Linked DNA regions of Arabidopsis thaliana. The protein of the gene in region 3 interacts with the protein of the main gene of each other region in a pairwise test. Each region holds a gene or a part of one and is shown on either strand. Other genes may lie near its edges.

Evidence for each region.
Region 1: the proteins of AT3G23600 (region 3) and AT2G42770 interact in a protein complementation assay, tested with the Arabidopsis thaliana proteins (one large-scale study listed by BioGRID).
Region 2: the proteins of AT3G23600 (region 3) and CHX27 interact in a protein complementation assay, tested with the Arabidopsis thaliana proteins (one large-scale study listed by BioGRID).

The regions. Positions count from the first base shown.
Region 1 is NC_003071.7:17,798,022-17,801,775, reverse strand, and holds AT2G42770 (Peroxisomal membrane 22 kDa (Mpv17/PMP22) family protein), read left to right. Parts: upstream 1-1,703; 5' UTR 1,704-1,848; coding exon 1,849-2,130; intron 2,131-2,454; coding exon 2,455-2,610; intron 2,611-2,694; coding exon 2,695-2,827; intron 2,828-2,909; coding exon 2,910-2,949; intron 2,950-3,053; coding exon 3,054-3,141; 3' UTR 3,142-3,510; downstream 3,511-3,754. Other genes in the region: AT2G42780 (transcription elongation factor B polypeptide), read right to left, coding at 1-36, 161-239, 318-458, 563-739.
Region 2 is NC_003076.8:255,472-259,225, forward strand, and holds the start of CHX27 (cation/H+ exchanger 27), read left to right. Parts: upstream 1-1,834; 5' UTR 1,835-1,938; coding exon 1,939-2,157; intron 2,158-2,297; coding exon 2,298-2,810; intron 2,811-3,044; coding exon 3,045-3,542; intron 3,543-3,624; coding exon 3,625-3,754. Other genes in the region: CHX26 (cation/H+ exchanger 26), read right to left, coding at 1-826, 957-1,169. UniProt on the Arabidopsis thaliana protein: May operate as a cation/H(+) antiporter.
Region 3 is NC_003074.8:8,471,691-8,475,444, forward strand, and holds the start of AT3G23600 (alpha/beta-Hydrolases superfamily protein), read left to right. Parts: upstream 1-1,936; 5' UTR 1,937-2,142; coding exon 2,143-2,290; intron 2,291-2,458; coding exon 2,459-2,480; intron 2,481-2,829; coding exon 2,830-2,956; intron 2,957-3,114; coding exon 3,115-3,205; intron 3,206-3,299; coding exon 3,300-3,389; intron 3,390-3,649; coding exon 3,650-3,750; intron 3,751-3,754. Other genes in the region: RFR1 (REF4-related 1), read left to right, coding at 1-94, 283-489, 659-1,779.

The DNA.
Region 1 (3,754 bases), on a different chromosome or scaffold from region 3:
CTTTCGAGCAGACCTTAGTTTGTCGACTTTGTTTCCCTGACAAAAGGAAACTGAAAACGATTACAAGGGAACGAAAGAAGAAAATATTTTGGTCAAAGAACATGCTTCTCATCATTGAGCTAACGGCCATAACAAAAGACAGATTCGTAAAAAGTTATACTTTCATTTTCGTCCTTGTAACGTTCTTTCAGTCGACCACCAAGTTCCTTCTCCTTTTGTTGCACAGCTATAACCTTCAACTGCACGAAACCATGTGCATGTATATCTTAAATATTTCAACACTTAAATATGTATCAAGACTTGAAAAAAAAACCAACCTCATATAAGTTCCTCCATTTGAAATCATTTACTTTATTCCACTCCAGGTCCTCTATAAGATCCTTCATGTCCTCTTCTCCATAGTGCTTCTTATAGAATCCCTTCCAAAACTTATCGGTGATTGGACTAAGATCTGTGTCCTAGCAGAACAAAAACAACGAAAAAGCATAACTTACGATTAAAAAAACCCCCAGCAAAACATACAAAAGATTAATCGTGCCATATAATGAGAAAAGCTTGTTACGTCAGTAGCATCCTCTATGTGCTTCAGCTGTTCTAGTGTACAGTGTTGCAGAATCTGCTCAAGGAGCTGAAAATCAACCCCACCAACATATCCAATGTACTTTACATTATCAATCGCTTTCCTTACGCAAAGATCAACAAGCGAAGGTGGTTTCTTGGTAAGCCTCTCAAATAACATAGCAGCTTCCCAAAACCTACAAGAAAAAACACACTTTAAATATGAATTAACAAGGATACACACAAGTAGACTATATCACTAATGTACAAAGATACAGAATTCATCAGCTTATGAGAATATTCATATGAATAAATTTGAATTTTGCCTCAAAATTTAAACAAAACGTTAGCTTTGATCATTAAAGTAGGTTCCTTTACACTAAAAAATCCATCAATCATATAACTCATAAGAACGATGCAGATCTTCATAAACTCTAGAGCTTTCTAAATCTAAATTCAAAGGATTTGATTTATGAATTGAGATGATCCAATCAATCAAACCCTCAATTCCAATTCACAATTGAACCAATCTATTTCCAAATCGAAAACAGTAGATGCAGAGGAGGAGGTTACCAAAAAAATTAAAAGAGAGCTGAATCGAAGATTGAACCAGGAAGGAGGGGACTTGTCCAAAGAATCTCTTCGACGATCGAAGAAACCTTTTCCTCTTCCCGGAAGAATGATGATAGCGGTAAACAGACGCCGGAGTTTTTGGGTTTCTTTAATCGTATGTATACTCACCCCAACGATGATGACGATGATGATGATGAATACAATTGGCTAACGCAATTCTCGTAAACGCGCGTTCAAAACCACGATTATCGGCCCTAGTAACGAGTAAGTTATTAACTTATTTATTAACCACCGCGCCTGTCTGATCGCGCCTTCACCGGTTTCACGTGAACACATCGTTTTATGTACACTAAGCATAAAACCGAACCAAATCAAAATAAATGAACCGAATATTAACTCAAACTATAGATTAATTCTTATACCGAATCATATGGACTGAACAAAATAAATCGAAATTCAGTGAAATAAATATAGAGACCTCAAAAAGATATAATACTGATTAAAACCCAAGATCCAATAAATTGGTTTGATCCTTTCAGTTTGATAACATTCGTTCGGTTCAGAATTGGTTTGACTTTTGACCTGTTTCCGAAAACCCAAGATCCAATAAATTGGAATCGAACCAAACCGGAAAAAACAAATGGACAGGACTCATTTGCGATTTTTAAGATTTAGGCAAAACTCTTCTCTGTTTCGACGCAAAAGGAAGCATTTTTAATGGACGCATTGGGTGGTTGCGGCGGCGCTGGTGGTTTCTGGGGATGGAATGGCTTCGATCAACGGAGAAAGAAGAAGTCTTCCGGTGATAGAGGTAAGAAACGTAATTCTGGATCGTCGGATTCCGTCGATGTGAGCAGAGACGCCGGCGGTTATCGGTTTCCTTTGAAGCAAGCTGTGACGGCCGGAGCACTCACTTTCACCGGTGACACGATTGCTCAGCTATCAGGGAGATGGAAAAAGAGAACCGCTCTTAAACAATCATCTTCTGAGCTTGACGAGGTTTGTCTCTGACCAAGTTTTGGTTATTTTCGAGTCATAGATTTGAATTTTAGAGGTTTTAGTGAATGTTTTGATTGTTTGAAATATTACATGAATCAAGTTCCTAGTGTGGTATAGTGAGAATTCTACTGAAACTGGATCTTTGCATAACCAAAAATGTTGGTGAGTATGGTTGTTTAGTGAGTAGTGACAGTCTTTGGTTAGGTTATGTTTGATTTGAATTCTTGTTGGGGTGACTCATATTTACTCTCTTGCAAAATGGTCTCGTACATTGGTGGAACTTGGCTTGAGACTAAGGATTTATGATTGGATCGTTTTACTTAGGGGGAATTGTGGAACATTTTCTCAGAACATGACTGGATTCGTGCGCTGCGGATGAGTTCTTACGGGTTTCTCTTGTATGGTCCTGGTTCTTATGCGTGGTACCAATTCCTTGATCATTCTTTGCCTAAACCAACTGCGACAAATCTAGTGCTTAAGGTACAAATCTAGGCGTGTTTTGTTAATTTGTACTTGGAACACGTTGTGATATAGTTTTTACTGCTTATACTGATCCCATGTTAGGTTCTGCTTAACCAAGTAATCCTTGGTCCATCTGTGATTGCTGTTATATTTGCTTGGAACAACTTGTGGCTGGGAAAGCTCTCTGAGCTTGGAAACAAGTATCAGAAAGATGCTCTTCCTACGCTTCTTTATGGTGAGCTACCAATTACAGAGAGTAATTTTTTTACTATTACATAGCATCGTTCAAATATTTACTGTTCTTGGGATTACTGCAGGATTTCGCTTCTGGGTTCCCGTTAGCATACTTAACTTTTGGTATGGCTTTCTTTCTCTATCATTAAGTCATTTGGAGAGGGTCTTTATAGATTGTGTGATTATGTATAATAGGATTGAGGTCTGATGAAAGGTGAAATTTACAGGGTAGTCCCGCTTCAAGCTCGAGTAGCGTTCATGTCCATGGGTTCTGTGTTTTGGAACTTCTACTTATCTTCAACTATGAGCAAGTAGTTACATTTATATTTGTATTCTTCAGCCTCGCTGAGTGATAATATATCATTCTGAAAGGTTTCAAATACAAAATTACTGTTTACCAAGAGACTATGGAAGGCTCTTCTCATCCTCACTCCTTCCTTTCTTTGAGTATCGCACAACTAATGTGTTACTCTGATCAAACTCATGGAAAACTATCTCCTCTAAAAACTTTAGTTTGAGTGTTTTTCTTGAGTTCAACTACTTGTGGGTGTTGGGATTATTAGTTTCGAGAAGTTACTGTATAATTTTTGAATTTTTATCATTTTAACTCTCAGTAACAAATTACTTTAAACTTTTGAATCTTATGACTTAACCTTTTAATTTTATTCTCAGTGATTGGCCTGATTTTTCCACCATTTATTTTATGAATTCAAATGCCTTTATTTACCGTATTCCGTATTTTAGATATTATTGTTTTAATTTTAGGCTTAATAATGTTTAAATTGTATATTTGTTGTACTGAGAAACAACTTGATTTTTATGTTTTGAGATATATAGTACGGCTACTTTAATTTAAAAATAACCATTAAACCACTAGATTGATTTTTTACCCTATAAAAAATGATGAATCCCGACCCCGATAATCTGG
Region 2 (3,754 bases), on a different chromosome or scaffold from region 3:
TGAATGAAAAGAAATCCACTTTGTTACCAATCCCGATGACGTAACACGGCATAAGAACCGCATAACAGAAGCTACCGATCTTGTCAGTGAGACCAGTACCGAAAGGAGGCGTCTTAGGAGTGACAAGACCGAGAGCCACGGATCCGACTACGTAAGGAAACCCTACAGTTTCAGACAGGAAAGTGGCGGTGCACAACATGACGCAAATGGTGCATAGATGGGAAGCCTTGAGTTTCTTTCCTTCAGGGGTTCTCTTCACTATCCAGTTGAATATTGGTCGGCACACAACTACTATACCAACCAGCAGTAGTACCTTTGTGAAGGTAGGCAGATAAGTGGTCTTGGAGTAATTTTGATGCAAGAAACTGTCAAAGGTAATCAAAAGGAGGAAAAAACCCCAGCCGAAGCAGTTAGCCACCATTATGGAGGAGAGGGCTAACCTTCCGGGCTCCGAGTTCAGCATCTTGAGATTCGACAAAACCGAATACGCCACTTGAAAATACACTACGGATTGGTTTGTTAGTAAATTGTGGAGCTGCTCGGGATTATTTTTCGCCACGGTTCCACGGATGTTGCTCGTGATTACTGTACATGCTATGGCGCCCACCACGTAAGGAAACAGAAAAAGAGATAATCCATTGATGATTGCTAGCTTGCCTCCTCGCTTTATAACTCCCATGTCCACTTGAGCCGTGCTTATGTATGAGATGAACATGAAGGATATTGCCTCAAATGATTCTATTATGAAATAGCTTCTTGTGTTGAATAATTTTTTTACTAAATCAATGTTTTGTCCCAAAGCCGAGGGTCCTAAGAATATCCCAGCCTGTTTCATATATACCAACAAAATATCACACTTCTATAGTTTAAACCTTTTTTTCTTTGCGGGAAATATAGAGAGATCCAAAATTTATTAAAAAAAACGTAGAAAATGGTATGATAAAGTGATTACATACCAGAATTTGAGTGACGAAGTCGACATTTGCGAGAGGGCGGAGAAGAGCTTGGAAGACGGAAGAGAGAGAAGAGACGAGAGAAATGAGAAGAAGAAGAAGAGGAGTTGAATATTTCAATGGATCATCTCCTCTAAGTAATCCGCCAGAGCTTGATCCCAACCATGCCTCGCATACAAATTCATGTGTGCCATTACTTGTAACACTATTGTTCATCTTGTTTCTCTTTGGGAATATTTTTTCTTCTTAAAACTAGTATTCACGTTCTTCTTTATAACCATTTTTGTTTGTGTTTTTGAATTCAGCATAACGCTAACTAATTGAGCAAACAGATCAAGCTTGTTGAGCTGGGGAAGAAGATACATGTATCTTTTTTAAGATATTAAACAGTTTTTGTTGTTTTTTCAAGGATTTTGTGTTGACTTTATTATAACCGTCAGAGAAAAATAGGAAATTATATATGTCATATCTCACTTTGGCAGATGTATTTTTTGGTATTTTACACATTTTTTTTTTATTATAGTTTTATTTTTTTGTTGATCCTGATCTTTTTTAAATTAATACTTATAAGGAGTATTACTAGGTTGATTATTAATTAATCTTTTTTTGTTAGGGATCTAACTTCATGGATTTAGTAGCTAGGTTGGTTATTATAACATCAACATGCAAAATATATATTACAAACACACATGTTTGTGCAATCAATCTCAGGCTATAATGATGATCATCTGACCATGCTCAAGATTTTTGTACCACACAGAAAACATATATAGAAAACCTTAAAAGTAGGATGACCTCTAAAGAGAAATAAAGAACAAGAGGATAAACAACATGTACAATTAAACCCCTAAATATAGCTAGAGAGAGCAGAAACAAAAAAAAGAAGAGAATAATTAATACTTTCTTCTTTTCTTCAACTCACAACACAATCTCTCTCTTTCCCTCTATGGCTTGACTCTTTAGGGGAAATACCTAGCAGGAGGGAATGGAAAATATAACCAAAACTTTTCAGTACGGAGGAGTTGATTGGCTTTGCGAGCCATGGGTAGGTGCAGGCTCTTTGGGGATTGGCCGGGGAGAGAATCCGCTCAAGTTTGCTCTTCCTCTTCTTCTCCTTCAGATTTCTGTCTTTTCCATATTTTCCGTATCTTTTCAGTTTCTTCTTCGGCCTTTTGGAAAATTTGCATTCCTCACTCAGATGCTGGTATACGTTTCCATATCTAAGCATCTATAATTGGAAGCTTTCTAGTGGAAAAATATGGACTAGTCGTCTCAAAAACATGTATAGCCATGCCCATAATGGTGTAAATGTGACTTAATATTTAATAGTGAATTTGTTTGCAGGCTGGGATCTGCTTAGGACCGTCCGTTATAGGACGTAACAAACAGTACATGGCTACATTCTTCTACGCGAGAAGCGTGTACATAATCGAATCCTTCGAGGCCATATGTTTTCTCTTCATTTGCTACATCACAACATGTCAAGTAGACACTAGGATGATAAAGAGAGTAGGCAAGTTAGCATTCATAAACGGCATCTTACTTTTCCTCATACCTTTCGTATGGGGCCAATTCGCGGCCATCTTGATCTCCAAGAGGCTCAAAAGCGGGCCTGCGGGGATCCCTCCCGTGGAGTTCCACCATGTAGCGATCGTCCAGTCCACAATGTTTTTTCAGGTGGTTTACGGAGTCTTGTCGAGCCTAAAGATGTTGAACACTGAGCCAGGGAGGTTAGCACTTGCATCCATGATGGTGCATGACTGCCTCTCTTGGTGTTTTTTCATGCTTAACATCGCCATTAAACTTAATGTTGACTTACCCAATAAAAATCGCGCTGCTTTCTTGTCCGTCTTACAGGTACCCAAGTTGATAAATAATTTCTTAATTAATCTACAAATTTTGCTTTGGAACATCTTCCAATTTTCTTACTATAAAAACATAATTGACTGTGTAAATTCCTACAAAAATAGACAAACTAACTAAGATCCTAATAAAATGCATGAATCCAATAATATTTACGTATAGTATAAACTTGCTTTGATCTATATATACGCTTTTTTATTAATGATATAAAGACGGAAATGAATGCAGATGATAATGATATTGGTGATAGCATATGTGTTCCGACCACTAATGCTGTGGATGAAGAATCGAACACCAGAAGGACACTCTCTCAAGGCCTCCTATCTCTCTGTTATATGCGTCTTGCTCTTCATCTCCTGCCTCTGGGCAGAATTTGTGGGTTTACCTTACTTCTTTGGTGCGGTCGTCTTAGGTCTAGCCACCCCAAAACGTCCGCCTCTAGGCACGGGACTGTCAGACAAAATCGGTTGTTTTGTTTGGTCTGTCCTGATGCCTTGCTACGTCATTGGGATTGGCCTCAATATCGATCTCTCACTGTTTTCCTGGAGAGATGTTATCCGGTTTGAGCTACTTTTTGGGGTGGTCAGGTTTGCCAAAATGATAGCCATTGCCTTGCCTTCCCTTTACTATAAAGTGCCTCTTTGGCACGCCATTCTTGTCGGGTTTATCGTCAATATACAAGGACTTTACGACGTTCAAATATACAAACAGAATTTCAATTACACGGTAACAATAATTCATTTAGGATATACTTTGGAACATATATAATTTTAGGTCAATAACAATCAATAATGGTCAATGGGTGCAGAAAATATCAAGCAAATCTTTTGGAGCAATGGTGATGTCAGCAACGGTAAACTCGACAATTTTCATAGTGATAGTGAAGAAACTGTACCAAACCATGAGCAAACGCAACCCTTACAAGAGACGTACGGTGC
Region 3 (3,754 bases):
GCTTGGGATATCCTCAAAGCCGTTCCATATGTTGTCGATGCTGCTTTAACCGCTTGTACTCATGGAAGGCTTTCGCCTCGTCAGTTAGCTACAGGTTTGTTTTGTTTTGCTGGATCAGATTCCTAATTGTGTTGTCATGTGCGATAACATCCGTCTATATGACCTTTGGCAACTCTGAATGCCAATGAGAGATGTTTGACTGTGTTGATCAGTTGTTATATCAGATGCATTTCTTACAGTAAAGTGAATTTATTTACAGAATAACAAGTGTTTTTCTTTCAGGGCTGAAAGACTTAGCAGATTTTCTCCCGGCATCATTAGCAACGATAGTAAGCTATTTCTCAGCTGAGGTGAGTAGAGGTGTTTGGAAGCCAGTATTCATGAACGGCGTGGATTGGCCAAGTCCAGCTACAAATCTATCCACTGTTGAGGAATATATAACGAAAATTCTTGCAACAACAGGCGTCGATATCCCTAGCCTTGCTCCAGGTAAAACTATTCAACGTGTTTAAAATGCCAGTCTGTTTGTTTGGCTTACCATCTCTGTAGTCTGTACCATCCTCTCTTTATAATAAGCTTTTTACCTGTCCTGATTTGATGTGTTAAAGTTAAAGTTGTCTTTTGAACTTATGGTTGACTTCTTGCTGTGGTATTGCAGGAGGGAGTTCTCCGGCAACGCTTCCTTTACCTCTAGCCGCATTTGTTAGTCTAACCATTACTTACAAAATTGACAAAGCCTCAGAGCGGTTTCTCAACCTGGCTGGCCCAGCTCTGGAGTGCTTGGCTGCAGGCTGCCCTTGGCCTTGCATGCCCATTGTAGCTTCATTATGGACCCAAAAGGCGAAACGTTGGTTTGACTTCCTTGTTTTCTCTGCCTCTCGCACCGTCTTCCTTCACAACCAAGACGCTGTGATTCAGCTCCTCAGAAACTGCTTCAGTGCCACTCTGGGTTTGAATGCTGCCCCCATGTCAAATGATGGTGGCGTTGGAGCTCTTCTTGGCCATGGATTCGGCTCTCATTTCTATGGAGGGATCTCTCCTGTAGCACCAGGGATTCTTTATCTCCGTATGTATCGTGCTCTCAGAGATACTGTCTCCGTATCGGAAGAGATTCTCTCTCTGCTGATACATTCGGTGGAGGATATAGCCCAGAACAGGCTCTCAAAGGAGAAGCTGGAAAAGCTGAAGACAGTGAAGAACGGATCAAGATACGGCCAAAGTTCTCTAGCAACAGCAATGACTCAAGTGAAGCTTGCTGCTTCGCTGAGTGCCTCGTTGGTATGGCTAACCGGTGGCTTAGGTGTGGTCCACGTTCTCATCAAAGAAACGATCCCATCTTGGTTTCTATCAACTGACAAATCAGACCGAGAACAAGGACCATCGGATCTAGTTGCAGAGCTAAGAGGTCATGCCCTTGCCTACTTTGTGGTCCTATGTGGAGCACTTACTTGGGGCGTGGATTCAAGATCATCTGCATCCAAACGCCGCCGCCAAGCAATCTTGGGAAGCCACTTGGAGTTCATCGCGAGTGCCTTAGATGGGAAAATATCAGTGGGATGTGAAACAGCAACTTGGCGAACATATATTTCCGGTTTGGTGAGTCTAATGGTGAGCTGTTTGCCGCTCTGGGTGACAGAGATCGATACAGAAGTGTTAAAGAGTCTAAGCAATGGACTAAGAAAATGGGGAAAAGACGAGCTAGCGATTGTATTACTCTCCTTGGGAGGTCTCAAAACAATGGATTACGCAGCTGATTTCATCATTCATTTGCGTTCATAGCTTCTTAAAAAGTTTTGATCTTCTCCAGATTTCAGATAGTTGTTTGATAGATGTTTTTCTTCTAGTGTTTGCTTCCTTGTTGTGACTTGTGTTCTCTAGCTCCAGTGTTGTGTGATGAAATCAATCACGCATATGTATAGAGAGAAACAGAAAAAAAAAAAAAAAAAAAAAAAAAAAAAATCTTGTATAGAAAATATTAGTGTACTATTCTAGACCGTTAGATGGATTAGTGTTCTATTTGGAACCGTTAGATGACTCTCCGTTGATTAGTTGGTCACAAGTCACAACAACATGTTAAAAGAAAACGAATGATTGAGTTTGGTTTCTTTGTATCATCTCTCTGTTTTTCCGAAGAACTAACACATGTCGGGACCTCAGTGCTGTGAAAACCCGCCAACTCTTAACCCGGTTTCCGGGTCGGGTCATGTCGAGAAGCTGGGTGGGCTTGATGCCTACGTCTCCGGCTCTGCCGAGTCCAAGCTCTGCGTCCTCCTCATTTCTGATATTTTTGGTAAAATACTCTTCTTTCTTTGCTTTGATCTGTTTTGACTTTCTTTGTTTTAGTTGAAATATGATCGGAGTAATTAGGGTTTTTGTTTTTCTCTTTTTGGATCCGTTTTGTTGATTTGATCATTGCATCATTGTTGACTCTGACTTTAGGTACGTTTTTGTTCTTCAGGTTTTGAAGCTCCAAACTTAAGGTACTACTACTAATTCTTCCCTCTTCATCGATTCAACCATTAAAAATGGAATCTTTAACTTGGGTTTGTTTCTTTGAAGGAATTAGATAGTATTTAGTAGCCACATATGAGGTCTAGTTAGAATTTTCATTTGAGCCTGCAAATAGTTTTGTTGGTTTTGGATTATGTACAAGATGAAGCATACCTATCATGTGTCTTTAAGTTGACTTGTCTTTTCTGAACTCATTTGATAAGATCTAAATGTTTAATTTGAATCATTGCTTTGATTGCATTGCATTATCTCAAGTTTATCTTGTACAACTATGGAGGAATGTTTATGGAGTGTTAAGTCTTAATTTTATGTCTTAAGGGCGCTTGCGGACAAGGTTGCAGCTTCTGGATTCTATGTTGTGGTTCCTGATTACTTTGGTGGAGATCCTTATAATCCCTCTAACCAGGACAGACCCATCCCTGTCTGGATCAAAGACCATGGCTGTGTTCGTTCCTCCTCCTCTCCTCCTTATAATAACTGTCCTATACATTCTCAACTTCTATTTGAAGTTTTGTTAACAAGTTTGACTCAATGTATGTGTTATTGTTCTGTTATTTTGATAGATTCCATCTGAATCAGTTCATATCCTCTTTTGTTTTTCAGGATAAGGGCTTTGAAAACACGAAACCAGTACTTGAAACCATAAAGAACAAAGGCATAACTGCCATTGGAGCCGCAGGGATGTGTTGGGGTGGTGAGTTTTTGTTAGAAATCTATGCCTAAGAGATGTGACGCTCTCTTTTTGTCTAATGGATAGTACTTTTCTCTCTTGTGTTATTCATCTTCAGCAAAAGTAGTGGTGGAACTGTCTAAAGAAGAGCTTATTCAAGCAGCTGTGTTGCTTCATCCTTCTTTTGTCAATGTTGATGATATCAAAGGTTAGTGACTTTGCTACTTCCATCTTGATTCCTCACATAGAACCAAGGAACATTAGTTGTCATGCCTTGCCTAATGCGTTGTAACATTTAGAGTCACCTATAGGATTGCGTAACTGATCTCGCCATGATTAGATACTATCATTATTACTGTAAAGAATACTAATTCACATTTGCAAACATAAAAAACACTGTGATTGGTCCGGTTTCTTTACTTTCACCGGTCTTTGATGATCCTTATCAATTTCACGGGTTTATTGCAGGTGGGAAGGCTCCAATTGCTATATTAGGAGCTGAAATTGATCAAATGTCCCCACCAGCACTCTTGAAGCAATTTGAGGAGATTCTATCTTCCAAACCCGAGGTAA